Oryctolagus cuniculus: one gene and its partners. The protein of the gene in region 7 purifies or fractionates together with the protein of the main gene of each other region. This does not show direct contact. Links are inferred from orthologs where the notes say so. Each region holds a gene or a part of one and is shown on either strand. Other genes may lie near its edges. The genes, in order: GIGYF2, EXOSC6, EXOSC2, HBS1L, EIF4E2, EXOSC3 and DIS3L.

Region 1 (4,270 bases), on a different chromosome or scaffold from region 7:
TTGGGAGCTAGGAGCCCAAAACTCCACACTGGCCTCCGATGTGGGTGGCCGGGATCAAGTACCCGCTGCCTCCCAGGGGGGACATTAGCAGGAAGCTGCATGGGAAGCAGAGCGGGGACTTAAACCCAGGTCCCTCCAATGTGGACGCGGGCTTCTCCTGTGGTGTCTTCCCTGCCGCACCAAACGCTGACCCCAAGCCTCCGCATTTCTACCAAGCTCCCCGGCCCTGCTGAGGTTGTCCGGCCACTCACTCTGGGCATCAAGGGAATGAAGGTGAAGGGAAGGCAGTGTTTCAGAGAGCAGGAAGTGGTCAACGTGTTGAAGACAGGGAAGCACCAGCGGGAGGTGAGAACTGCAGCGTCCTCAGGGCGAGGGTAGGGAGGTAGGTTGTTAAGGAGGAAGGGGTGGGGGTAGAATGGGGGGGTGGGGGTGGGGGGGTGAGGATTGCATTCTAGCCTTGGGAATTGAGAAACTGCATCTAAACAGCTCTTTGGGGTCAGTTTGGCTTTCAAAGGTAACGGAGAGGCAGGGAGGAAAGTGAAGGAGGAATTGGGGTTTTTAACATAAATGTTTAAGGTGGGAGACATTTGAGTATTTTTTAAAGAGTTTATGTATTCGAAAGGCAGAGTTACAGAGGGAGGGAGAGACAGAAACCCGGAGAGAGCTCTTCCAACCTTCGGCCAGCTCACTCCCCAGATGGCCCCCGGCTGGGCCAGGAGGAAGCCAGGAGCCTGAACCTCCGTCCCGGGCTCCCAGGTGGGTGGCAGGGGCCCGAGCCCTGGGGCCATCAGCGGGGAGCTGCAGAGGGTGGCCGGCTGACCTGACGCGAAGGGAGAGGGTGCAGGCCCGGGAGGGAACGGGATGGCCTGAGAGGGGCAGAGTTGCCAGATTTGGCAAGTGAAATTCAGGGCGCCCAGCTAGGAACGGGGATTTCAGAAAAAGAACGACCGGCCGGCCAGCCTCAGCGGATCCCAGATACTGCTAGGTGTGCCGCAGCGGGAGACTTTCGCGTCAGCTCTGGGGAGGATCCCCCGTTCTGCCAGAGCTGTCACCCCGATGAGAAACTGGATCATCGGATCTCGGCGCTCTCCCGTGCGCTCCAGGACAGCAAACGCGCAGGGAAATTCTGCGCGCAAAGCGGTGGGAAAGTTCTGGTTCGGAAAGCCAGCTCGTCAGTGATGGAGAGGCTTCTGCGCTGCAGCTGGGCCGTGGCTTGGGTGTGCAGGACAGTGAGTCACAGGCCCCGGCCCGGGTCCAAGTCCGCACGCCAGCTCCACTCAACCCAAGGGCAGGCGCGGAGCGGCCGCCACGGGCCCCCCAGGCGCCTGCGCGCTGCCGCCGCCCCGCCCTCGCCCGGCCTCGCATCCGGGTCTCGGGAGGGGGCGTGTCCGGGCAAAGGGGCGGGAGGCGGCGGAAAGGGAAAGATGTCGTGGGAGGCTGGGGAGCGGGGAGGGGAGCGGGGCGGGCCGGGGGCGGGGCCGGAGCGGGGCGCGGTCACGTGATGTGCGTGGCGACGTGTCGGCCATCTTGTGTTGTTGAGGCTGAGGACTGACTTGGGTTCTGAGAGACTCCCTGTCCCGGACCGCAGGTAACCAGCGACTCCGTCCCGCTCCCCTGTCCGGCTCCGCTCTGCGCCCTGGCCCTGCCGCCGCGCCTCGGGCCGCCTGGCCTTGCGTCCGCACTCACGTCCTCCCGCTCCGGCCAGACCCGGCCCGGCCGCATGGGGACACCCACAGGCCGCCCCGGCGGCGGCCGCGGCCGGCTGGGACGTCAGGCGAGGGGGGACAGGTCAGGTGCGGGGCCGGAGGGAGCCTCCGCCCGGGCGAGAGGCACGGCGGGCCCGTGCGCGGCTCGGCCGCGGGACCCCCCCCCCCCGCCGGGCCCCCGTGGCACTGCGGGGCGAGCCGAGGAAGGGGGCAGGGTGGTGGGGTGGGCAGTGTCAGACCGGTCGCTCGGGGCCGGAGGGCTCGCCTTGCGGGGCCTGCCCACCCGCCCGGCCCCGGTGCCCCGGGGAGCAGCCGCTGCCGGCAGACAGCTGCCCACACCTGGCCCCCGGCGGGTGCGCCCCGGTGGTGCCCGCCGAGCATCTGGCCGGGGGAGGCTCCTTCCGCGGCGAGAGGACTGGGTCTGGACCAGGCCCGAGGCGAGGTGGAGCCATGATCCGAGGCTGGGCCAGGGGAGCCCGCGGCAGCTTTGGGGACTGGAAGGCGCACCTCCGGTGGAAGCGGGCACGGTGGCCGTAAGTGTCAGCAGTTTCCCACGAAGCACTCCGAACACTTCAGCGTGGTGGCCGACACATGAGGCCGCCGGGCAGGCCAGGAGGGTGTGAAGGCGGGTTGGTGACCGTGTGCGGAGAGCAGGAGCGTGGCTTTGCGCGCACCCCCCGCCGCCCCCGTTTTCCTGAAAGTCAAAGCACCTAGGCACACCTAGTCTCTGTAGGCAGGTAAGTATTGCAGTGGACCTCGCAGCCCAGTGCTGAGCCCTGGCTCCTAGGCGGCTTGATCCCCAGTGCTGTGTTCAGGGGAGATACTTTTTCCATATGTACTATTTCCTTTTTGGAAGCTGGTGACTTCCTAGGATAGAAGAAAAGATTTTTTTTTTTTTGGTCCTTCTGTACACGAACTTCCAACCTTCTGGCCGCATCGCTGGCCTTCCACGTTGGCCCGTTTTGCTGAGCGCACAGACGCCTTCTCTCGTTTATTGGTGTTTTCGTGTGTTTTACCCGCCGGAGTAGCAGACTGGAGCGCTCGAGCTGGAATATGCACTTTTCTGTTCCGTCAGCCGTTGACGTCCGAAGAGGATCCTAGGAAGAACACGTAAATGTGGCATGTATTTGGAAAAAGGACACATGACCCTTCCTTGAACATCTCACGCTGAGGAATGCACTGGCGATGGTGGTGATTCACCGGGAAGGAAAAGCCTTCACACCCTCTTGACGCTTCAGAGAACATTTTAGGATTTTGAGGCTGGGAGGGAGAAGGGACAACCTGCTTATTTATTTACTCATTTATTTCTGCATTCATTTACTTGACAGTTCTTGAGCACTTAACTACAGTGTTGGGTGCTGGAAGCAAAACAGACCAATTCCTGTCTCAGTAGAACTCACTGGTAGACAGAAAATAAATTCTTAGGTAGAATATGAAGACGCTCCTTGCTTACTGTGAAGCTACAGCTCCATAAACTCATCACTAGTTGAAGATGCATTGACCCCACCTGGCCTTTACATATCACAGCTTGAGCACACAGAGCACTGTGAAGTGGGTTGTGTCCCTGTGATCTTGAGGTGACTGGAGTTTCTGCTTGTATAGTGAGAGAGAGTCGGACTGTGTTGCCAGCCCAGGAGAGGATCCACATTCAGGTTCCCAGTACGGTCTCTACTGAATGCATATTTCTTTCCCATCTTTGCAAGGTAGAAAAACTGTAAGTTGAACCATCGTCAGTCGGAGACTGTATATTGTGTAAGTGATGTGAAAAAATGACACAGGGAGGCAGGACGTTATTAAGAGGGCTGGAGAAGGCTTCGTGGGAAAGCCAGTATCCGAGGGGAGGCCTGGCAGGTAGAGGTGCTGTTCCTTTAGCAGTGTGCTGGAAGAGCGCTCCAAGCTGGGGGCAGCGAGCACAAAGACCCTGAGCCTGACGACCGAGGTGACCGAGGTGGGAGGTGACCGGTGACCAGCCAGGCCAGCCTACGCCCAGCGGCCAGGGTTCGAGGGAGGCTCGGAGCAGCAGGGTGGGTCTGCCCCTGCTAAGGGGAAAGGATTGCTCATGAGACTCGGAAAGGGAAATCGAGGTTCTGGAGTTCTGGGCCAGCAGCTCCACCCCCTTCCGCACGCTCTCCTCCTGCCACCTTCCCCTCCCCCCCAATTTGGAAAATTCAGATAATGAATATATGCCAGGCAGCTGTGGTGAATTTCCCCACTAAAAGTAAAACTTAAAAAATAAACAGTGTATTTTTCAGAAGGAATTTTTTTTCTAAAAAGAGGATCTTTGGACATTTCAGGATATTTGAAAATGTGGGGAAAGGAGGGACTTCCTGTAAAGTTTAGATGCAGATGATTAAGGAATGTAATTAGGAGGAATCATTGTAAACTCAAGTCTGCCATAATCTGGTCAGTAAAGAATTTTTCTGAATTCTCTGCTGTCCAGTCTAGGTTCTAGTATCCAGGGACCTCTATGAATTCGTATATCCTTTGTCGCATTTTACATGCATAGAACTTTGCTGGTTTTTATTCCTCCATTTGCCTCCTTTACCTTTCAGACTAGTTTTCTG
Region 2 (2,920 bases), on a different chromosome or scaffold from region 7:
AGCCATGCTCCTCTGCTTTCCCAGAAGCCAGTTCACCCGCCCTCTCCCCAGGGGCTCAGGCTGGACAACGGGCAGATGAAGGCAGCCCAGGGGCCCACTCAGCGGCAGTGCAGGCCTTTGACTGGACTGCTGTGGCCCTGGCCACGGAAGGCTGGGATCCGGCTTCCACCCCCAGCAAAACCCTTTCCAGCTCTCGGGAACCCTGCGCTGGGGCCTCTCGCGGCACAGCCATGAGCTCCGGGACCCCCGAGTGCTCCCGGGCCGTCCAACTCTCCTCCCGGCGCAGCAGCCGCCCTCACGGGCACCGGAGGCGGCGGCGTGTCTTCCTGCCAAGCACACGGCCCACTTCTAAACCCGCAGCTGCTTCAGGATTCTGGCCCGTCTGGTCGGCTCACCGGTCCAAGGGACACGACACAGGCGGGGCAGTGCTGTCCTGAGCCTCACCGCCAGGGAGCCTTGCTCTCTCTGAAAATCCTGTACTAAGAACCACGACACGCGTATTTCGAATACAAAAAAAAACGGTTTTGTTGTTTCAGTCCCGCTGTGAGAAGGCGCAGCGCCCTGTCCATCGTCTCCGGAGTCACACAGATCCCGCGCTCCGGACCAGGCCGGCTCAAGTCCTTCCCAGCTCGGGAGTAAGCAAGCAGCCCGCGGCTTCCTGCGCTGGCTTCTGGCTGGGGACTGGAAAGATCGTCAAACGTTCGTCTGTCGACAGCCGTTCCAACGCAACTGTCCATCTCCGCACGCTCTGTCCGCTCGCGGCTCCACTTCGCCCGCCGGCTCAGGGCAGGGCGGCGCCCCTGCGGCGGGCGGCCCGCACCAGGCACTGCTGCAGCACCGGGTAGAGTCGCTGGCAGCCCTCGAGGCCCAGCCGCACGGCTTCGGCCCAAGTCTCGGTCGCGTCGCCCTCCCCGCTGCCCAGCAGCCCGGCCACCTGGTTGAGCACCGGCATGAGGGCCACGGTGAGGCCGGCGGCGGCGCGCTCCTCCTCCAGCCGCGTCGGGTCCAGCAGCCAGGCGGGCGTGGGCCCCTGCGCGCGGCTCAGGCCGCAGCCCACCACCAGGTCGTACATCTCGACGCCCGCGTCGGCCAGGGCGAGGGCGGCGGCCGTGAGGGCGGCGGCCAGCGCCGAGCCGCCGTCCTCCAGCAGCAGCGCCGACACCTCGAGCTGCGCGCGCGGGTAGCGGCTCAGGCGCACGGCCGGCTCCAGCGCCTCCTGCAACGCCAGGGCCAGCTCGCGCTCCTCGCCGCCGCCCGGAGGCGCCCGGCGCCGGCGGCCCGAGAAAGGCGCACGGCGGAAATCGCAGACCAGGCGGCCGCGCAGCGCGGCCGGGGCCTCGCCGCCGGCGCCGGCAGGGCCGCTCCCTCGCTCGCTGCCCTCGACCTGGCGTGGGCCCGACACGGCGCACAGCACCTTGGTGCCTCCCGCCTCCAGGTAGGCCGAGCCCTTGGCCTGGCTCAGCAGCCCGGCGCGCGCGTACACCGGCCGCAGCCGCGTCGGGTCTCGGGCGGCGGGCTCCTCTTCCTCGTCGGCGGCGTACAGCTGCGGCGGCTGCGACTCGTCTGGTCCGCGGATGCGGCGGTGGTCCCCGGGCATGGCGGCACCTGGCGAGCACACCGCTTCCGCCCGTCGTCCTACCGCGCGCTCCGGCTCTTCCGCCCGCTTGAAGACGCGCGCTCGCGCGGGGGCTGTCGGGAGAGCCGCAGGCAGTCGCGGCTGCACTGCCCCCTGGCGCCGTGGAGGGAGAACGGCTGCGGCGCCAAGGCTTTGAAGCCGCAGCAAGGTTGCCCAGGGCTGGACGGGCCGGTTGACTGTCTCCCAGGCCAGGTCCTACCCGAGCGCTTAGTCTTCTCACTTATGCAGGCTGTAGTTATCTTAGTTTTGCACTAATCTGTGGGACTATTTTATATGTCCCCACCGGGGAGTTGGCCTTGCTCACTCCCAAGCCCCTGGCTGGCACGAAGGCCTATATGATGGATGGAATCTCTCTCCAGCACTGGCTTTATGTAAGTCTCTTTGTATCATTAACACGGACATCAACACCCCCTTTCTGCCTCCCCTTCCCACCCTGAGAACCGCCCCTCACCCCAGCATGCACCTGCTTTTCCTTCTCCCTCCACTGTCAGCAGCACCGTGACCTGGGCTCTGGGGCCAGCCGCTGTATCCAGAGGACAGGACATCCGTTGGGGCTGGCACAGGCAAGCAGTACCTTCACCTTCCAAACTCTGCCATTTTAGACTTGGGGAAACTGGACTCAGAGACCGGCCAGTGTCTTTGGGTCAAGTGGGAGTGATGGGCAGACACTAGAGTAGGAGGCAATAGCTGCACCTTAAACATCTTCTGTACCAGAGACTGCCCTCCAGCCTCATACCCTGACCCCACATGAAGAGCTTCAGAGGGAGGGGAGGGACATGAGCCAGAGCCGCCGCCTGCAGGGCTGGCATCCGATGTGAGCACCAGTTTGAGACCAGCTGCTCCAATCCAGCTCTCTGCTATGGCCTGGGAAAGCAGTGGAAGATGGCCCAAGTGCTTGGGCCCCTGCACACGCGTGGGAGACCTGGAGGAAGCTCCTGGCTTCGGATCAGCACAGCTCCGGCCACTGCAGCCCTTTGGGTAGTGAACCAGTGGATGGAAGACCTCTCTCTCTCTGCTTTTCTGTAACTCTGCCCTTCAAATCAATCAATCTTTAAAAGAAAAAAACAATGGAGGTTCTCCAGGCGCACCTTTGCTTTGTAACCCCTCGGACCACTGAATTATTAGAGCCTCTCTCTCCATCTCACCCCCGTCTCCACAAACACTGAGTTCAAGGGTTTAGGGCTGGACTGAGCTGGAGTCAGCATGTTTTACACACCCTCGGGTAGCCAAGAGCTGTCAGCAGGGGTGCATGCTGGGAGGTAATGACCAGAAGGCATCAATGAG
Region 3 (4,205 bases), on a different chromosome or scaffold from region 7:
AGCTCCTTTAAGCAGGAGTGGCAGATAAGACCACACGGGACAGGCATCGCTCCACCGGCAGGGACTCCTGTGACGTGACAGGCAGTGCCCGGCACGCGGGCGGAGGCTGCTGTGGGCACAGACGCAGGTGCAGGCCTTGGTTGTGTGTGCGCATTTGCCCTCTCCACCACACACACCTGCCTCGCGGGGTGTGGCCTGCTTCGCTTCACTTCTCTTTCTCTTTTTTCAGAGAAGTCAGCTGGCTCAGCAGTGTCCGGCGTGCTGCCTGTGGGTGGGGGTGCGGGCTGGGTTGACCCAGCAGCCGTGAGGCGGCTGTTCTGACCGACTGGGGCCACTGGGAACAGTGTGAAGTGGGGCGCTTGGGGCTGGCGCCAGGGCACAATGGGTTAAGCCATCACCTTCTATTCTGGCATCTCATGTGGGTGCAGGTTCAAGTCCCGGCCGCTCCACTTCCGATCCAGCCCCCTGCTAATGCTCCTGGGAAAGCAGCAGGGGATGGCCCAAGTGCTCGGGCCCCTGCACCTGCATGGGAGACCTGTGGGGGGAGTTCCTGGCTCCTAGTTTCTGGCCACTTGGGGAGTGAACCATCAGATGGGAGATCTTTCGCTGTCTCTCCCTGTGGCTTTGCCCTTCAAATAAATCTTTTTTCCCTAAACTTGGAACACTGCTTTAGAAATTGCTTGGCTCCTTAAACACTGTCTTTTTAAAAGCATTTATTTATTTGAAAGGCAGAGTTAGAGAGAGAGAGAGAGACAGAGAGACAGTGAGACAGAGAGGTCTTCCATCCACTGGTTCACTCCTCAAATGGCTGCAAGGGCCAGAACTGGGCCAGGCCGAAGCCAGGAGCTTCCTCCAGGTCTCCCACGAGGGTGCAGGGGCCCCAGCACTTGGGCCATCTTCCACTGCTTTCCCAGGCGCATCAGCAGGGAGCTGGATGGGAAGTGGAGCAGCTGGGCGCCCAATGGGAAATCAGCGCTGCAGGCAGCGGCTTACCCCCACTGCGTCCCAGCGCCAGTCCCAATAAATCTTTTGAAAAAAAGAAAGTATGGCTATGCTTTCTGTTGAAATCGTGTCCTCCTGGGCGCTGTCATACAAAAATCAGATTTTAGCGGCTTAGAGCTGGACGGAAACTCAGAGGCCCATTCCTCAATTACGTCTAACGCTGGTAAACAATAAGCAGGATGGCAGTACCAGACAGCTTTGATAAAAAGCCACAAACAATAGCTTGTGGAATGCCATCACGCCACAGGTGCACCCTTGCCAGTAATAAACGTGGAAACTCCGCATTCCTCCCCTTCGGGTTAACATAACGGTTGCCAGTAGTCAACATGGCTGCCACACCGTGCGCTCCCATTGGCGGCTGCCCTGAGGCCCCGCCCCAGACCGCCCCTCTCGGAGTTGCCGGGCTGAATTCCGCGGCTCCGGGCCGAGCTGCGCCTGCGCAGGTTATTGGCGCCAAGATGGCGATGGAGATGCGCCTTCCGGTGGCGAGGAAGCTTCCCAGCGAGAGTCTGGGGCGTGATACCAAGAAGCACCTGGTGGTGCCGGGGGACACGATCACCACGGACACGGGCTTCATGCGGTACGGGGGGCCCCGGGGTGCAGGGGGCGGCCGCAGGGCTCTGCACGTGATCTGCGGGCCCGACCGGGGCCCAGGGCAGCCCCTCGGCGTCGTCTGCGAGACGAGTCCCTGACGCCGCCTCGCCTGCACTCTGGCGGCCCCGACTCTGGGGGTCTGAAGCGCCGATCTCTGGGCGTTCCTTGCTGGGGGCGGGAGGAAGGGGACTCTACGGGTCCGGCCGTGTCCGGGGGCGGGGGCGGGAGGAGGGGGACTCTGCGGGTCCCGGCGGTGTCCGGGGGCGGGGGCGGGGGGCGGTAAGTCGGGGTCTCTGCGGGTCTCGGCCGTGTCCGGGGGCGGTAAATCGGGGTCTCTGCGGGTCCCGGCCGTGTCCGGGGGCGGTAAATCGGGGTCTCTGCGGGTCCCGGCCGTGTCCGGGGGCGGTAAATCGGGGTCTCTGCGGGTCCCGGCGGTGTCTGGGGGCGGGGGCGGGGGGCGGTAAGTCGGGGTCTCTGCGGGTCCCGGCGGTGTCTGGGGGCGGGGGCGGGAGGAAGGGGACTCCGCGGGTCCCGGCGGTGTGCGGGGGCGGGGGCGGTAAGTCGGGGACCCTGCGGTTCCCAGCCGGGGGCGGACGGAGGGCAGACTTGGCTTCCCTCCTCCTCCCTGAGCCCCCCACCCAGCTTGGGCCCGGGGTAGGGGTCGTTCCTGTGTGGGCTTAGGAAGACTCAAGGTTGCATGAACTACCTTGCATGAATACACGCTGTGCCGCAGGGCAGTGCAGGGCCTTGTAGTTGGGGGACAAGGGGGGCTCCCCGCCTGCCAGTCACCTTATCAGAGGTCCGGTTCCTGATCTGTAAGAATTTCTGACGGGAGTTACTGAAGGGTCGGATGGGAAAGATACAAGACTCACCGTTAGATCGCCGGCAGAGATAAGCACTGGCAGTGTTTCAGCCTCTTGGTTTTTTGTAGGAATGCACGTTTGCCGGGTGTACATCATCTTCAGCATCAATATTTGTTTATTTTTATTTATTTGACAGGCAGAGTGGACAGTGAGAGAGACAGAAAGGTCTTCGTCTGTTGGTTCACCCCCCCAATGGCCGCCATGGGCCTTGCGCTGTGCTGATCCGATGGCAGGAGCCAGGTGCTTCTCCTGGTCTCCCATGGGGTGCAGGGCCGAAGCACTTGGGCCATCCTCCACTGCACTCCCGGGCCACAGCAGAGAGCTGGACAGGAAGAGGAGTGACTGGGACTCGAACCCAGTGCCCATATGGGATGCCAGTGCCACAGGTGGAGGATTAACCAAGTGAGCCGCGGCGCCGGCCCCTGCTTATTTATTTTTGAGAGAGACAGAGTGTTGTTTCACTTCTCAACTGCCTGCAACCCTCTGGCTGGAGCCAGGAGCCAGGAGCGCAACGTGGGTCTCCCACGTGGGTGGCAGAGAGCCAGTCGCTTGAGTTGTCACTGCCGCTTCCCCGGGTCTGTGTTCGCAGGAAGCCGGAGCCAGCAGTCAGACCCAGGCACCAGATGTGGGAGGCCGGCTTCTTAGCTACAGGCTGAACACTTGCACGCCCACCACCACTCCCCTAACTTCTCCCGGGGCTCCCGGGCAGGTGCAGGGGCCCAAGCACTGGGCCCTCCTCTGCTGCTCTCCCAGGCCATAGCAGGGAGCTGGACGGGAAGTGGAGCAGCCAGGACTTGAACTGGCACCCACATGGGATGCCGGCGCTGCAGGCGGAGGCCCAACCTGCTGGCCCCACCCCAAGTTTGAGGTTGTTGGAATCTCCGAAATGTTAAAATTCATTCCTGTGTTCGTACTTTCGCCATATATTTGTAGTCCGTGTGGTCTGGGTGTAGCAGTGAACAAAATGAATTCTGTCCTGGCGGAGTTGGCGTCTGGGGAGACACAGATAGTGAGGAATATGTTGGCCGGCGCCGCGGCTCACTAGGCTAATCCTCCACCTGCAGCGCCGGCACACCGGGTTCTAGTCCCGGTCGGGGCGCCGGATTCTGTCCCGGTTGCCCCTCTTCCAGGCCAGCTGTCTGCTGTGGCCAGGGAGTGCAGTGGAGGATGGCCCAAGTGCTTGGGCCCTGCACCCCATGGGAGACCAGGAAAAGCACCTGGCTCCTGCCATCGGATCAGCGCGGTGCGCCGGCCGTGGTGGCCATTGGGGGGTGAACCAACAGCAAAGGAAGACCTTTCTCTCTCTCACTGTCCACTCTGCCTGTCAAAAAAAAGAAAAGAAAAAGAAAAAGGAATACGTTAGCACAACAGCAGACAAGGAGTGGGGTCAGTGTTGCGGCACCAGGGGTTAGGCCATGGCTTGAGGCCCCAGCAGCCCGTATCCCAGCCCAGGTTAGAGTCCCGGCTGCTCCACTTCTGATCCAGCTCTCTGCTGTGGCCTGGGAGGGCAGCAGAAGATGGCCCAAGGGCTTGGGCCCTGCACACACGTGGGAGACCTGGTGGAGCTCAGGGCTCCTGGCCTGGCTTGACCCAGCCCCAGCCCTTGCAGCCATGTGGGGAGTGAGCCAGGGATGGAAGATATGTCTGTCTGTCTCCCTGTCACTCTGCCTTTGAAATAAATAAATAAATCTTAAACAGCAACAAATAAGGCATAAATGGAGAGCGTGCTTGGGGATACGGCGGCAG
Region 4 (3,500 bases), on a different chromosome or scaffold from region 7:
TTTTAATGCTAATTTTATCTGCAGTAACGTGGTGCCATAAAAAAAAAACCTCCTTTATACCTCCTTTATGCCATCTTTTTTGATAGGATTGATTATATGACCAAGGCTTGGACTTTAAGGTTTAGTTAGTTTACAGGATTTTTTTTTTTTCCTTTGATAGAGTATTTTTTTCATCTGGGATCTTCCAGTTTGTATTTGTGTGATTGGGTCTAGCTTATGCCATCCCCCTTTTAGCAAACTCTAACCACTTGGCAGAGGCATTTGGGTTTGAGGTGTAAAGAGTTATGGAAAAAAAAGGACTCATAAGTAGAGTCGGCTTAAAACAGTGTTTTCCTAACTGCTTTCTTTAGAGTAACTTCCCAAGAGAATGGTCATGGTTTCCACACACCTCAGAAAGGTGACGATACCAGCAGTGCTGCTTCTGGTGGCGGTCTGGAGCACACGGCGAAATCCGCTCCCGCGCCTCACGCGGGGCAGGTGTCGGAAGAACAGAGCTCCCCGGCGGCGCTGGTGAAGAAGCCCGGCAGGCTGCGGCAGCAAATCGATGTGAAAGCCGAACTGGAGAAGCGGCAAGGAGGGAAGCAGCTCCTCAACTTAGTGGTCATTGGTAATGCCCTTTGTGCCTCCAGGTTCGCGAGCCTCACTGCCTTGTGGGGCAGCCCCGAAGCTCTGTGTTCCTCTGTGGGTGTAATGGACAGAAAGCAAGGAGCTGTTGCATCATAATGGCTTCCTGGTCACCCTGCGGAAATGATGCCGCGTTTCCAAGGAGGCTGGTGGACCTGTTGCCGCATTTTCATGTTGTGCACATTTTGAGAATGGCATGTCTTATTGAAAATTTTAATTTATAAAAATGAGGGAAATCTCCCCCTCTAAAGGGACATGCCCCCCCCACCCCGCATTTAGATGTTTTATCTGTCGTTTGTTAAAAATTGGTATTCAGTATACTCCATAAACACTGCAGTGAACTATTGAATTACACTGTCATGCAACGCCTCAGTGTGAACAGCTTGTGAAATGTGCCTGGTATTAATCTTGAATCAATTTTCCATAGGTCATGTTGATGCTGGGAAAAGTACTCTGATGGGCCATATGCTTTATCTCCTGGGTAATGTAAACAAAAGAACTATGCATAAGTATGAACAGGAGTCTAAAAAGGCTGGCAAAGCTTCGTTTGCGTATGCATGGGTCTTGGATGAGACTGGTGAAGAAAGAGAAAGGTAGTCACTATATTTCAGAATTTTCAGTTTGAAATGATATAGTCTTTTTAAATTAGTAATATGTGTTGAATATATGAAACATGCCATGAAATACTTTAGGGATTTTATATTCAGAGAGAAACTTCTAATTATCAGAGAGAAGTATTTCTTGTAATTTTCATTATAAATAGCTTCTTTGTACTCTCCCAAATTCTATGAGAATAAATCAAAGCTAAAACAAAAAACACATAGAAGTTAATTAGTAAAAACCCTAAGCTAATTATTCTATGGGAGAAGATCCTGTTACTACTTCCCTTTATGCCTGATTGCCTTGATATTGAATTTAAATTATGAGTTAAGACTTAATTTTATAATAGGTTGTAAAGGAAAGGCAACAGTAGTGAACTCTCTTCTTTCAGGATCAAAGTGACCATTATATCTAGATTACCACACTTACTTATTTTATACTTTAAATAAGTAATTAAACCCATAACCTGCCACTGAGATATAATTCAGTCAGTTACTCCCTTCTGTCTTTGTTACTATGTTCAATGCTAATTTGGTGAGGGGAGAGGTGGAAATTCTAGCAGGAGAATACAGCCACTCATATACTTCTGGCTAAAGTACAATATTTCTTGTAGTAGTGATATGTATTATTTTAGGGCTGTAAACGGTGGGAGAACCAAGGGCACCTTAGTGATTAAGTGTAACTGTTTCAAAATGATGACTAAATTAAATTGCATTCCCCCAATTTCCTCAATCTGAGTATAATTAGAGATATTTAGATTTCTATACTTTTTTCATGGATATGTTTATTTTCTCATAGTCTTGGATAACCTGCATTATAATATATAAGGTAATCATTGGTAAAACTGGTCACAATGTTCCTTAGCTCTTCTAATAAGTAGGACTTTATATCATAGCAGGTTTTTATCCCCTTGTAAGTGTCTTATAAATTCTGTATAGCACCATGAACCTGTTTTCCACCTTGGTAAGAAAAATTAGCCGGACAGCTGCCAGTTTTTTGTAAACAGTAGAATTGTATATGACATCAGTATTAGAAGCATACATAATTTCTGCTTGTCAGCCCAACAAGCAGATTGTTAAAGTATATGGCTTTTAGTTTTCTTTGTGTCATCTAGTAAATAAGAGATTGGAGACAGTATAATTTGAGTGCAAATAATTTGGTCGAATTTAATTAATTTGTGAATTAAGCTGGCAAGTTAGCTAATGATCTGATTCCTATAATCATCACTCATTTTAGGGGTCTTTTTTGGATGATGTTGCTGCTTACTGACTGTTGTACTTTTACTGCTACTAGTCTTCGGTTTCTCAGGATGATACTATTTTTAGAATATCCCTTTATTACATAGATTAGTCATGGTTCATCACTATTCTGAAATGCCGTGATCCATAGGTTATTTGGAGATTATTAAGGAGAACTATACCTCACTTTGGCCCATCACTTCAGATTAAACTCAGATGCCATGACTGAGGAAACCATAGTCACCTGACTCTGAGGGGGGACCTGAGTTCATTAGAATCGTTGGGACTCGTGAAAATGAAAGAGAGGGCTGTCATCCACTGCTTTGGATGATGCAGCGGGTACTACGATGATTGCCCACCCGAGTTCCTCTTCTAAGTTCCAGAGGTCAAGAGTGATTCAGTGACCTTGTGGACCTTCCCTCAGCTTCCCTATAATCTCAATCTACATTCTTGTGACTGAAAAGAGGCGTTCATTGTGTCTGGTCTCCAGAGGAGATGGAAAGGCACACAAAGTAAACTGCCATTCATTTCTCTCAGTTTTTAAAAAGTTAGGTCTCCTTGGATTCTCCATATTTTCTAAATGCATTACTTACTGACTAACCTTGCAAATGAGAATTTCACAAGTTTATTTGTATAAATAGGTGAGGTATAACCATGAAACATAAGGACATTACCTGTTGATAGTGATGAGTTTTCATGTTGTCTTTTCTCATGTGCAGTATTTATTTTCCCCCCACTAGAGATGTCCCCATATATTTTTCTTTATTTATACTTCATACTATTTCTTACTAAAACATAAAAAAGCAAGGAAATGGGAAATAACAATCCTTTTGATTGAGTTCTTGCTGTATCCACAACCTTGTTTTAATGCCATAGAAGTATAATTGTATTTAGCAGAAATTCCAGCCCTAATTGATACTTTAATTATTCAAAATAATGATTTATGTAATAAAATTCGCATTGTTACTTGTCAGCCTATAGTTTAATGATTTAATCCATAGAACTCTTGTTTTATATAGTGCATTCTAACAATGTTTT
Region 5 (3,500 bases), on a different chromosome or scaffold from region 7:
AAAACCCTAATGAGAGGTTCTTAAATACAAAGGAAACTTGAAACTTTGCTTCTGACTTTACCATGCAACTCTACGAAGATGGACACCACGTGTAACGACCACAGGACACTCTGCATGTCCTAAGGACTCAATAAATACGTACTTAAAAGACAGAAAGATAAAACTGTACTTTTCTGTTATGCCTTTCTGATCAATACCACCTACTAACTCTGGATGTCAAATACGACATCTCAGAGGGAACACATCTGCCGCTGGGGGCTCGGTCAGCGAGTTAGAAAGCAGCACCTTACACGGGTCACCAAGAGGGCGAGCACCCAGCGCGACGGGCACGGCCGAGCGGACGCCGAGGCCCGCCCTGGCCCACTAGGTACTCACAGAGGCGAAGGTGCCGATCTGTTTGATGTTCTGTTCGTAGCTCTGGGAGCTGGTGGGGCGGCCCGGGGTCCTCCTGGAGTACCAGAACGTGTAGTTGTATTGCAGGGGGTGCTCTGCCGGTCCAGGGACAACAGCCTGGGGAGCAGAGGTCTGTCAGCCCTGGTCTGCCACATGCTCCGAGTCAGAGACTTCACAGCACACCCTCACCGCTTCCACAGCGGAGAGGACAAAACACCAAGCACGAGCACACGCCCAGGCGCCTGCTTACACAGTGAGCTCCCACTCTCCGCCCCGCACTGCTGGGGTGGCTTCTGTGACTTTCTACCTCATCTCACAGCTATCTGTTTGCATCTTATCTTTTTGTTTGTTTTTGACAGGCAGAGTGCACAGTGAGAGAGAGAGAGAGACAAAGAAAGGTCTTCCTTTGCCGTTGGTTCACCCTCCAATGGCTGCCGCGGCCAGCGCGCTGCGGCCGGCGCATCTCGCTGATCCGAAGCCAGGAGCCAGGTGCTTCTCCTGGTCTCCCATGGGGTGCAGGGCACAAGCACTTGGGCCATCCTCCACTGCACTCCCTGGCCACAGCAGAGAGCTGGCCTGGAAGAGGGGCAACCGGGAGAGAATCCGGCGCCCTGACCGGGACTAGAACCCGGTGTGCTGGCGCCGCAAGGCAGAGGATTAGCCTGTTGAGCCGCGGCGCCGGCCTTGCATCTTATCTTAACCTATGTCCAGTCTAGCACTGCTTCTTCTATGACGCTCTTTATCACTTATTAGTGGCAAGATGCTTTACCTGTTAGTACCTCACCTGTTGCTTTTTTTTCAGATTTATTTATTTGAAAGACAGAGAGAATGAGGGAGGGAGGAAGGGGGAGGGGGGAGAGGGAGGGGGGGAGAGAGAGAGAGAGAGAGAGAGATAGGATCTTCCACCCACTGATTCACTCCCAAATGGCTACAACAGCCAGGACTGAGCCAGGCTGAAGCCAGAAGCCAGCAGTTTCTTCCATGTCTCCCAGGTGGGTGCAGGGTCCCAGGCACTGGGGCCATCCTCTGCTGCTTTCCCAGGCGCTTTAGCAGGGAGCTGGGTCGACAGTGGGGCTGGGAGGTACTGGAGCACCGGTGCTGCAGGCAGGGGCTTTAAGACGCCAAGCCACAGCGTTGACCCCTGTATCTCAGCTTCTTACTTGCAAAATGAGGAAAACCGCCACCACTCCACAGGGCTGCTGGCAGGACATCAGAGGCCTAGCTAGAGCCTAGCACTGAGGAGGAGCTCAGTTAAGTGTCAGCCACTATTAGAAATGCTCATATCGAATCTTAATGAAGAATGGGATGGGAGAGGGAGTACGAGATGGGATGGTTTGCGGGTGAGAGGGTGGTTATGCGGGGGAAGAACCGCTGCTAGAATCCAAAAGTTATACTTTCAGAATTTGTATTTACTAAATAAAAGTTTTCTATTAAAAAAATTTTTTTGAAATAAAAAAAAAGCAAGCAAGCAATGCTCATATCAAACGTGAGCCCTGGGGCGGGTGTTTATCCTGGCAGTTCAGATGATTACAGCCCACGCCCAAGTGCCTGGGTTGAGACGCAGCTCCTGACTACAGGTTCCTGCTAACAGGGACCCTGGGAAGCAGCAGTGAAGGCCCAAGGGACTGGGCTCCTGCCACCCAGTTAGGAGCCCTGGCCCGAGTTCCTAGCTGCTGGCACCACTCCAGTTGTTCTAGGCACTTGAGGAGTGAATTAGTTTGCCTCTCTCTTCCTAAAAAACAAAACAAAACAAAAAGCAAAAGTAAATAAATGAACGCAAGTTCTGGGGCCACTGCTGTGGCATAGCAGGTAAGGCCGCTGCCTGCCGCGCCGGTATCCCATACGGATGCTGATTCAAGTCCTGGCTGCTCCTCTTCCAATCCAGCTCCCTGCTAATGTGCTTGGGAAAGTAGTAGAGGATGGCCCAAGTGTTTGGGTCCCTGAGCCCACGTGGGAGACCTGGAAGAAGCTCCCGCATTGCGGCCATTTGGGGAGGGAACCAGCAGATGGAAGATCTCTCTTTCTCTGACTCTCCCTCTTTCTGTAACTCTGTCTTTAAAATAAATAATAAAAATAAATCTTTTTTTAAAAACAAGCGGTGCAGCACTGTGGCACGGGGGGTAAAGCTGCTGCCTGCAGCTCCAGCATCTCACACGGGTAGCGGTGTGAGTCCTGGCTACTCCACTGTTGATCCAGCTACTGCACTGTTGGCCTGAAAACGTGGTGGAGGGTGGCCCAAGTGTTTAGGCCCCTGTACCCACATGGGAGACCTGGAGGAAGCTCCTGGCTCCTGGCTCCTGGCTCCAGCCTAGCTCAGGCCCGGCTGCTGTCACTATTTGGGGAGTGAACCAGTGGACGGAAGACCTCTCTTCTCCCACCTGTGGGGAGCAACTGGGAGCAACTCGGACTAGACTAAGTTACTCGAATTAAGACTTATTCTATGCATCTGCTCTCCCACAATATGGCGCTGGGAGAGGAGGAACCAGCTTCTACACAGCTGCCTCTCACCAACTTGACAAGCTGCAGGACCTGCTCCTGATTGGAGGAGAGCAGTGTACTCGGCGTGTGGGTAGCAGAGTTGGGATTGGTGGAAGAGGACTATAAAGGAGGAGAGAGACAACATGCACCAGGAACATCTAAGGGGGACACCTGTGCAGCCCCCGAGAGAGCCGGCCAGCGGTGTACCGCTCCCCCGCGGAAGTGGGGAATGTGGCAGGGGGAACCGCCCTTCCACGGAGGTGGAAGGGTCAGTAGCCAACCCGGGAAGAACCAGCAGCCAACCCGGGAAGGACCAGCAGCCAACCTGGGAAGAACCAGCAGCAAACCCGGGGAGGGCCGAGCAGACGAAAGAACAGCGCAGGGTCCTGTGTCGTTCCTCCATGAAGAGGGGGAGCAACATAATGGTGCCGTGACTCGGATATGAAGCCTAGGCAGGGCTTAGTGTCGTTCCTCCACGAAGAGGGGGAGCGACACGCACCCCTTCTACCCCCATCTCTCTGCGACTTTGCCTTTCAAATAAACACATCTTATTAAAAAGAAATGAAAGTTCCTTGACCCACAGTCTAATTCACGTTTGTGTCTTCTCAGCACCTAGCATAAAATGCTAC
Region 6 (3,958 bases), on a different chromosome or scaffold from region 7:
CTGTTCTGTTCACTCAAGGAAACATTAAATATCTACTTTTTGTCAGTGACCACGTTCCTAGAGAGGAACAAAACACTGTCTGCCTTTCAGAAGCATTTGGTCTTGGAGTGCAGCTGGGATGCACAGATTAGATTTCATTCGAGGCCAAATTCAGTTAAGTGCTAAAGCAAAGATAAAAAAGTGATGACTGGCAATGCCTTCACAAAGATGGTCCTGTTCACCCCAGATCCCAAAGGATGAGCCTGTGCAATCCCGACAGGGAACAACCTGAATGACCCAAGCAAGATACACGGGCAGGAAACTGAGTTCAGTAGAGTATGGTGTGATTCACGCACGCTGTGAAGGAGGTAACGCTGAGGAATTCTGCAGGCTTTGAAGAATCTTCCTTTTAGTCTGAGAAAGGGGATATCAGCTCCCCAAAGCCTCTATGGATGGGGTAAAAGGGTGGAGGTAAAGGAGTTAATAGGATCACTCACTGACTTCAGTTGTGGGGGCGGGGGTTTAAGGCCTGAACTTGCAAAGTGGAGACAAAGGGATGGAGGTAGGCTCAAAATAGGATTAAGCAACTAGTGACTAGAGGTGAAAGGGCAAAGAAGCCACCAAGTTCCTGGCTTGGGTAGACAGGAAGGGTGTGGCTATGCGACCTGAGAAGGCCAATTGCAAACTTTAGGTAAGAAGATGACTCCTCTGCAGGGCGAACAGACAGCTGCTGCTGATCTGCACCACCTGTCCTTCCCCCTCTCTAAGGCTGTGCCTGACCTTGGCCAGTGGATACGGACCTAACAGGTAACAGCGGAGAAAACAGAACCTCTCCCCTCCAAGGTGAAGCCTCCCAGGAACCAACGTCACAAATATAAACCAAGTGTGTGCCTCTGCTCCTGCAGACTCTGAAGGAACTCTGAGAGCCCGAACACTCAGAGATGATCCCGCACAGCTGGGAGAATGGCCAGGCTCTGGAGACAGGTCAGGCAGCTGCTGGATAAATGAACGTCCTAGGGGTCAAAGGCGCCATCATTACCTGCACATTAGGTCTGTTTCTTTTCGTTGCACCTTCAAATGCCAAGTAAGACAAAGAAGCTGGCTCACTCCCTCCAACGTCAACTTTGAATATATCTCCAGACTTAGCCGTCACTATGCCAATCACGTGGTCTCCTTTCACTGGAACATACTACAAAACAGAATTGAGAGAACAGCCATAAATGGCAAGCTATCATTGCAAGATATCTCCAGCAAGTTAGCCTTAGTTGTTGTCATTAAAGAGATAATTTTAAATATTCCGAAATGCAAGTTTACAAGTTAACCCATACAAGTTTGATTATATGCCATTTTCAGTAAAAGAGAGATCACAGTATAAACTCTCAGATTTACAGCTTCTATTCATTTTTTTAAAGATTTATTTATTTTTATTTGAGAATCAGAGTTACACAGAAAGGAGAGAGGAGGATAGAGGAAGAGGGGGAAAGGGGGAGAGAGGTCTTCCATCCGATGGGTCACTCCCCAGTTGGCCACAGCAGCCAGAGCTGCGCCGATCCAAAACCAGGAGCCTGGAGCTTCCTCCAGGTCTCCCATGTAGGTGCAGGGGCCCAATGACTTGGGCCATCTTCTACTGCTTTCCCAGGCCATAGCAAAGAGCTGGATCAGAAGAGGAGCAGCCGGGACTCGAATGGGCGCCCATAAGGGATGCCGGTGCTTCAGACCAGGGCGTTAACCTGCTGCACCACAAGTGGCCCCTACAGCTTCTATTCATTTGAGCCAGTATTTACCAGTAAGTCCCTAGCTTCTGCTGCATCCAAGTCCAGTGGCACTGGAATCCTTAGAACCAGGAAAGCACATTCCATTGTTAGACACTTTTTCCTACCAGGAAAGTTCTCACCTAAGAGCGATTTAACTCCCTGTAACTGCCACTCATTGAGCCTGGTTCTGCTCGCTGGGACGCCAAAGGTCAAGCCTGCTGTTCCAAAACCACTGGGATTTTAATGACAATAACCATGATTCAGTCTCCAGAGGCCTCTGTCAGGCTGCATCCCTACTGTTCATGGTCCTACATACAGTGGCTGCTGAGGTGGGCCCTGCACTACGGTGGTTCCAAATCAGCCTTAACGCAGCAAGGCACCACGGCCGCGCCCCCCACCCCTGACTTAACACAAGGCCCCTCGGCGGCCCCTTCCACGCTCACAGCCGCGCCCCCACCCCCCGCCTTAACACTGCAAGGCCCCACGGCGGCCTCTTCCACGCTCACGGCCGCGCCCCCACCCCCCGCCCTAACACAGGAAGACCCCTCGGCGGCCTCTTCCACGCTCACGGCAGCGCCCCCACCCTCCGCCTTAACACTGCAAGGCCCCACGGCGGCTTCTTCCATGCTCACGGCCGCGCCCCCACCTCCCCGTCCCCCCCGGGATCCCAGCTCACCCGCTTCTGTTGCGAGTCCACCCAGTAAACGCCACCGCCACTGCCACTGCTGGGCTCCTTGTGGCGGAGGAGGCCGCACTTGGTGACCAGAAGACGATCGCCAGAGCGCCGCAAGCCCGGGCCGCACACCACGCGCACGCGCGAGCACACCCCGGCATTCAGGCGTAACGGCCGCTCCCCGGCCCCGCCAGCGCCGTCTGCGTCCTCCTGTTCCGGCAGCAGCAGCTCCTCTCCTGGGAGCACCACCTGGTTCAGAACCGTGCACGCCGCCCGCGCCCCGCTGCCCGCGAGAGACTCAGCTGTGACAGGCGCAGATTCAGCCATAGTAGGCGTCACTAAACACTGCTTCCGGTACCCAACTTCCGCTTCCGTCTCCGAGTGGAGCAGCCAGCCCACGGCCGGATTTCCGCTTCCGGCCGTGGCTGTCGTTTGGCCTTGCACCCAAGTCTGCGAAGCCGGGTCTCTGCCAGCAGGCGGGTGCTCCTCGCCCAAGGCGGCTGTGATTGTGTCAGGACCCGAGCACCTGCCTCGTGGTCTGCCCGCGGGTCGGCAGTGAGCCACGCCCAGCTTGAGTCCACTGGAGAAGCCTGCACTTCCGGTCGCACCCCTGGACTACAAGATACTTCTCATAGGATCCCTGGAGAATTACGGGAGCTGAACAGAGGGACTTTGGAAACTACTTTGTGGGGCTCTTTTCGGACGCTACCTTCAGAAGTGTGCTGACCTTTACCAGGAAAAGTACTTTTTCTTCAAAGTAAAACTTCTTGGGGACCTGCGTTGTGGCCTAGTGGGTAAGGCTGCTGTGGTTCGAGTGCCGGCTGCTCCACTTCCCATCCAGCTCCCTGCTCACCTGGGAAAGCAGCAGAGGATGGTCCAAATCCTCGGGTTCCTGCATCCGCCTGGGAGATCTGGATGAAGCTCCAGGCTCCTGGCTTGGGTCTGGCTCAGCCCCTGCCTTGGAGGCCATTTGGGGAGTGAACCAGGAGGTGGAAGAGCTCTGTCGCTCTGTAACTCTGCCTTTTAAATAAATAAAATAAATCATAAAAAAAAAAAACACCTTGATTGTAACTAGAGAAGAAAACGTATTGGTCTTGCCTGTTTGTGTGCTCTTCCATGCCGACCACTCTAGTTCTGATTGTAGCCCAAGGTCTGGTATGAAACAATGCCTGGGCCGGCGCCGAGGCTCACTAGGCTAATCCTCCGCCTGCGGCGCCGGCACTCCAGGTTCTAGTCCCGGTCCGGGCGCCGGATTCTGTCCCAGCTGCTCCTCTTCCAGTCCAGCTCTCTGCTGTGGCCAGGGAGTGCAGTGGAGGATGGCCCAAGTGCTTGGGCCCTGCACCCCATGGGAGACCAGGAGAAGCACCTGGCACCTGGCTCTTGGCTTCGGATCAGCGCGGTGCGCCGGCAGCGGCGGCCATTGGAGGGTGAACCAATGGCAAAAGGAAGACCTTTCTCTCTGTCTCTCTCTCTCACTGTCCACTCTCCCTGTCAAAAAAAAAGAAAAAAAGAAACAATGCCTGATAAGTAAATGAATATAGTAATACTGTGA
Region 7 (4,031 bases):
GCCCAAGTCCCTGGGTGCCTTCCACCCCTGTGGGAGACATGGAGCTCCAGCTGTCACTCTTTCAAATAAAGAAATTTTAGTACAGAGCAGGTGAGGGCAGTTAGTGCTTAGTGGGTACCCTGACATCTTCAGATCCCAGCCATACAGCTTCCCGTTAGACCCCAGAAGAGATCTACTAGTTTACTCCCTAAATCACAATGGCCAGCCCTCGCTCAGGCCAAAGAAGCTGCAGCTGGATCTCCCACCTGGGTGCAGGGGCCCACTCCTGCAGCCTCCCAGGGCTCAAACCAGCAGGAAGCCAGACTGATACGTGAGAACATCCCAAGCACCAAACACCTGCCCCAACCTTGCTCCTTTCATCTAATCCCAGGAAGTCAACAGGTTTGTGGTAAGAGGGACTAAGACTGCGTGCCCTAAGGCCTCGGAACAGCTCAAAAAGTGCTTACTACATGGAAAGCCCAGGGTGTCACCTGGAAGCCTCTTTCCTAACTGCTCCTCCCTTGTTTTCACATTTAGTATATGTGAGACAGGACTAAGCAGTGGAAAAACCAATCCTTTTTCATCAAGTTCACTCATTTCGAAATGTTCAAGAGAAAAGACATTTAAATACCCATGCTTCGCCTTTGAATGTCACAGGAATTGGTTTGGAAAGCAATCCTTAATATTAAAAATATTTTAGAAAACAGGTTGAAAAGGCTCGCAGTGTGTTAGCAATGGGAATATAACAGCAAATTGATTTTAGTAGCAGAAATATGACGCCTGGAGCAGCATTTAAACCTGGATATGAAAAAATATATCTTTGTGTCTGAATAAAATAAACTTCACACTCATTTTAAAATATTCAATCTGGAAAAGCCTGTAAACAATCCAGCTAATGCATATTTTTTAAAAAAAAACTGACCATTATCTTAAGGATAATTTATCATTTTCACACAAATAAACACCTCACTTTTTACCACCAAGATCTGAAAAGAAAATTCCAAAATTTCTGCTTATTTAATAACTCGGGGTATTAAGAGGTTGGATATGCCGTTAGCATGCCACGGCTGTACGCCTCAAATCAAAGCATAGACACTTTCCCCAGTGGTTAGCTGTTTTAAAAAATAAGTTTAGGGGCCAGCTCTGTGGCGCAGCAGGTTAACTCCCTGGCCTGAAGCACTGGTATCCCATATGGGATGCTGGTTGAGTCTCAAATCTTTTCTGTGGAGCTGGGGGATGGTGATCAATACAAACATACCTCCACCCTCTTTTCGAATGTAGAGCGTCAGTCACAGTTTGCAGCCAAATCACGCCCTTCAATTCCGGCATTTCCAAGATTTCAAAGTAATCGAAAACTGAGCTGTCTGGCACCATGTAATGGGTCACCTCTGCAGGTAAGAGTTTGCCCACTGAAACACAAAACAGAAGAGATCAGAGAACATTTAACCCTAGGTCATCCACAGGGGCAAAACAACTTCCGGGCACTTTGTACATAACGACAGGCCCGGGGTTCAGCCAAACTGGGCAGCTTCATCGTGTTTCGAAGCTGCGAGAAATGTGGGCTCCGCAGGGTGGGTGGCGTGTACGCTTCTGCGCGTTAACCACCTGCGGACGCCCCGCAAGGTCAGGGCCAGCTTCTGGAGGGAAGCCCAGGGCCGGCTGCCTAGAAACGACGCCCGGTGCAAGCCGCGTGCAGTGCAGGGCTGTCCACCCTGCCCCGGAGCTGCATGGAGGAGCCCCCTGGCTGCGCTCCCCGTGCCCCTGCGGGGAGGGGACCCGGCCATCACTGGAGAACCCCAGAGGGCAAGGTCTGGCGCGCACAGCTCCACACCAGCTTCGCCCCGCTACCCCCACCACGCCAGCCCGGTTCGCGAGCCCGGCCGTGAAGCGGGTTCTCCCCCACAGCCAGGTGGGCGGCGTCAGCGCTGTGGAGCGGGCAGGCCGCGCGCCGCCTCTGCCTCTGCGTGGGGCTGGCCGCCCCGGCCCTTCCCGCCGCAGGATCGCGCCGCCCTGCGCACGGGAAGAGGCAGGCTGCGGGGGCCCTCGGGCCGCTCGAGCGAGCGCCAGGCTCTCCCTCCGGGGTTTCCACGAGGCAGCGCGGAGTCGTCAGGGAGCTCCGTGCGAGGAGCGCCCCGGCGCCCGCGGGCCTGGGCCTCTCTCGCCTCGGTGCCGCGGCCGGGGCCTCGCGCTCCGCCTCCCGGCCCTGCCTGGCGCGCCCGGCGCCTCTCGCCCCGCGCCGCCCGCCGCCCGCCCGGCCCTCGGCGAGCGCCTCTGACCGTTGCAGCAGTACTCGGGCTGGGAGCACAGCGCGCTGTTACAGGGCACGCAGGGCCGCAGGTAGTGTTCTCTCACGACCCGCAGCGGACAGCGGTAGACGGCGTTCACCGTGATCACTCGCTCCGTCTTCTCCAGCATGTTTCCCTCGCCCGTTCTCCAGTAACCCGACGAGCTGGGCGAGCAGGCGGAGACGAGGCCGAGGTTTGAGGCCCGCCCCTCGGCCAGGGCGCCGGACACCGAACCCGCCGTAGCGGCCTCCTCTTCGGAGTGGATGAGACGAGGCCATCTTCCAGCATCTGTGTCGCTCATCTTGCTGCTGCTGTGGGGTCTTGGAGCTCAGGAAAGAAGGTTGTCCAAAAGTGATGGGGTAAGGTGGAGGGCAGCGCGTTTATAAACTCTTGGGTTGAAAGGTTTAGGGCGACCAGATGGGATTATCCCGCCTTTGGGACTATCGCACCCATGGGTGTGGATCAGGCTGCTAAGAATGCTGAGTTTCGGTGAATAAGTCAGCAACCCTCCCAGCCCACCGATGCCCCCTTAAAAAAGGCAGTCTCTATTCTGACTTGCATGTGTCTTTTATACTGGCAGAAATTCAAACCATGTGGGTAAAATGAGTAGCAATCCTGAATTTGGAGGTGCCGTTGGGCCCTAATTAAACAGCCCCTGGCCAAGTAATGCTTAGAACTGCCAGGGGCGGGCACCTGGGGGCATGTTTCCAATCTGATAACTTCAGCCCCTCCTGAGCTGACACACCCTTGGTGGAGAGGGGGCCCACCAGTTTGCCTCCAGGCACTTAACCACAGCCTTGGAAAAGCAGCACAGGCCTGCATGGGTCCCTTTTGAACTCACTCCAGGTCAAAGGCGTGGGGCGTCACTATGACCATTTTATAGACTATGATGGGGGTGAAGGCCAGGGCTCCCCGGTTATTAGCTGGGGCGGTCACCAGTGAATCAGGACAGGTCTACAGGTGATGGCCATGTTGTTCACAGAGGAATGAAACAGAGGCGCTTCACCTGGGGAGGTGATTAGAGGGTACCCGGTGAAGGTGCGTGAAGGCAGCTCAACCAAGGGGCTGGAGCACGTGGCCCCCTCCCCCACCCCGATGCTGCAGTGGGCAGGCCTAGGGGTGCCCGCTCACCCACTCACTCACTCCGGGTAGCAAGCTACTCTGCAAGTGTCAGAGGGTGTGGACAAGATCCAACATGGAGCTGCATCAAAGAGGCAGACAGCGCAGAGCCGGCCAGCAGGCCACAGCACTGAAAAGCCCAGAAGGCAACCGCCACTGCCAGAGGCCCCTTCTCCCTCAGGAGGTCCACGCTAGGGACCCCAGAGGGCGGGATGTAGCCACAGTTGTCCCTATATAAAAATGCTTCTGGATTCACGGGAAGCCTGTGCTTGGGCTGTTTGTGGGTGTAGCTGGCAGCTCCTCGCTTTTGGGTAATGGCGTCTGGTTGGTGGCCGCGGCCTCTGGACTGGGATGTACCGTGCTCCCAGTGAAGGCAGGGGAGCTGAGCCCAAGCCATGGCCAGTACAGTGGTAGCGGGCGGATTGACCATTGCTGCTGCAGGATTTGCAGGCTATTATGTGTTACAAGCTATGAAGCATATGGAGCAAGTTTTTCAAAGTCTACCAACATCTGCCTTCAGTGGCGGTGATTACAGAGGTGGATTTGAACCCAAAATGAGAAGCATTAATACCAGGTGTAGGCCCTACTGCCAATAAAGGACAAATAAGAGATGCACATCGACAAATTATGCTTTTAAATCACCCAGAC

The links.
Region 1: the proteins of DIS3L (region 7) and GIGYF2 purify together in Homo sapiens (affinity purification with mass spectrometry; 3 studies listed by BioGRID and IntAct, with this or other methods). This does not show direct contact. The link is inferred for Oryctolagus cuniculus from reciprocal best matches to the Homo sapiens genes DIS3L and GIGYF2.
Region 2: the proteins of DIS3L (region 7) and EXOSC6 purify together in Homo sapiens (affinity purification with mass spectrometry; 3 studies listed by BioGRID and IntAct, with this or other methods). This does not show direct contact. The link is inferred for Oryctolagus cuniculus from reciprocal best matches to the Homo sapiens genes DIS3L and EXOSC6.
Region 3: the proteins of DIS3L (region 7) and EXOSC2 purify together in Homo sapiens (affinity purification with mass spectrometry; 5 studies listed by BioGRID and IntAct, with this or other methods). This does not show direct contact. The link is inferred for Oryctolagus cuniculus from reciprocal best matches to the Homo sapiens genes DIS3L and EXOSC2.
Region 4: the proteins of DIS3L (region 7) and HBS1L purify together in Homo sapiens (affinity purification with mass spectrometry; 5 studies listed by BioGRID and IntAct, with this or other methods). This does not show direct contact. The link is inferred for Oryctolagus cuniculus from reciprocal best matches to the Homo sapiens genes DIS3L and HBS1L.
Region 5: the proteins of DIS3L (region 7) and EIF4E2 purify together in Homo sapiens (affinity purification with mass spectrometry; 3 studies listed by BioGRID and IntAct, with this or other methods). This does not show direct contact. The link is inferred for Oryctolagus cuniculus from reciprocal best matches to the Homo sapiens genes DIS3L and EIF4E2.
Region 6: the proteins of DIS3L (region 7) and EXOSC3 purify together in Homo sapiens (affinity purification with mass spectrometry; 6 studies listed by BioGRID and IntAct, counting the BioPlex papers as one, with this or other methods). This does not show direct contact. The link is inferred for Oryctolagus cuniculus from reciprocal best matches to the Homo sapiens genes DIS3L and EXOSC3.

What each region holds. Positions count from the first base shown.
Region 1 is NC_091434.1:6,789,376-6,793,645, reverse strand, and holds the start of GIGYF2 (GRB10-interacting GYF protein 2), read left to right. Parts: upstream 1-1,470; 5' UTR 1,471-1,588; intron 1,589-1,941; exon of another isoform or gene 1,942-2,239; intron 2,240-4,270. UniProt on the Homo sapiens protein: Key component of the 4EHP-GYF2 complex, a multiprotein complex that acts as a repressor of translation initiation. In the 4EHP-GYF2 complex, acts as a factor that bridges EIF4E2 to ZFP36/TTP, linking translation repression with mRNA decay.
Region 2 is NC_091449.1:56,939,944-56,942,863, reverse strand, and holds EXOSC6 (exosome complex component MTR3), read right to left. Parts: upstream 1,672-2,920; 5' UTR 1,598-1,671; coding exon 782-1,597; 3' UTR 501-781; downstream 1-500. UniProt on the Homo sapiens protein: Non-catalytic component of the RNA exosome complex which has 3'->5' exoribonuclease activity and participates in a multitude of cellular RNA processing and degradation events.
Region 3 is NC_091432.1:233,342,217-233,346,421, forward strand, and holds the start of EXOSC2 (exosome complex component RRP4), read left to right. Parts: upstream 1-1,405; 5' UTR 1,406-1,460; coding exon 1,461-1,582; intron 1,583-4,205. UniProt on the Homo sapiens protein: Non-catalytic component of the RNA exosome complex which has 3'->5' exoribonuclease activity and participates in a multitude of cellular RNA processing and degradation events.
Region 4 is NC_091436.1:33,928,296-33,931,795, forward strand, and holds part of HBS1L (HBS1-like protein), read left to right. Parts: intron 1-350; coding exon 351-607; intron 608-1,051; coding exon 1,052-1,217; intron 1,218-3,500. UniProt on the Homo sapiens protein: GTPase component of the Pelota-HBS1L complex, a complex that recognizes stalled ribosomes and triggers the No-Go Decay (NGD) pathway.
Region 5 is NC_091434.1:6,905,251-6,908,750, forward strand, and holds part of EIF4E2 (eukaryotic translation initiation factor 4E type 2), read right to left. Parts: intron 511-3,500; coding exon 376-510; intron 1-375. UniProt on the Homo sapiens protein: Recognizes and binds the 7-methylguanosine-containing mRNA cap during an early step in the initiation. Acts as a repressor of translation initiation.
Region 6 is NC_091432.1:200,611,408-200,615,365, forward strand, and holds the start of EXOSC3 (exosome complex component RRP40), read right to left. Parts: upstream 2,801-3,958; 5' UTR 2,734-2,800; coding exon 2,410-2,733; intron 1,169-2,409; coding exon 1,019-1,168; intron 1-1,018. UniProt on the Homo sapiens protein: Non-catalytic component of the RNA exosome complex which has 3'->5' exoribonuclease activity and participates in a multitude of cellular RNA processing and degradation events.
Region 7 is NC_091443.1:89,272,569-89,276,599, reverse strand, and holds the start of DIS3L (DIS3-like exonuclease 1), read right to left. Parts: upstream 2,801-4,031; 5' UTR 2,566-2,800; coding exon 2,256-2,565; intron 1,688-2,255; exon of another isoform or gene 1,585-1,687; intron 1,389-1,584; coding exon 1,238-1,388; intron 1-1,237. UniProt on the Homo sapiens protein: Catalytic component of the RNA exosome complex which has 3'->5' exoribonuclease activity and participates in a multitude of cellular RNA processing and degradation events.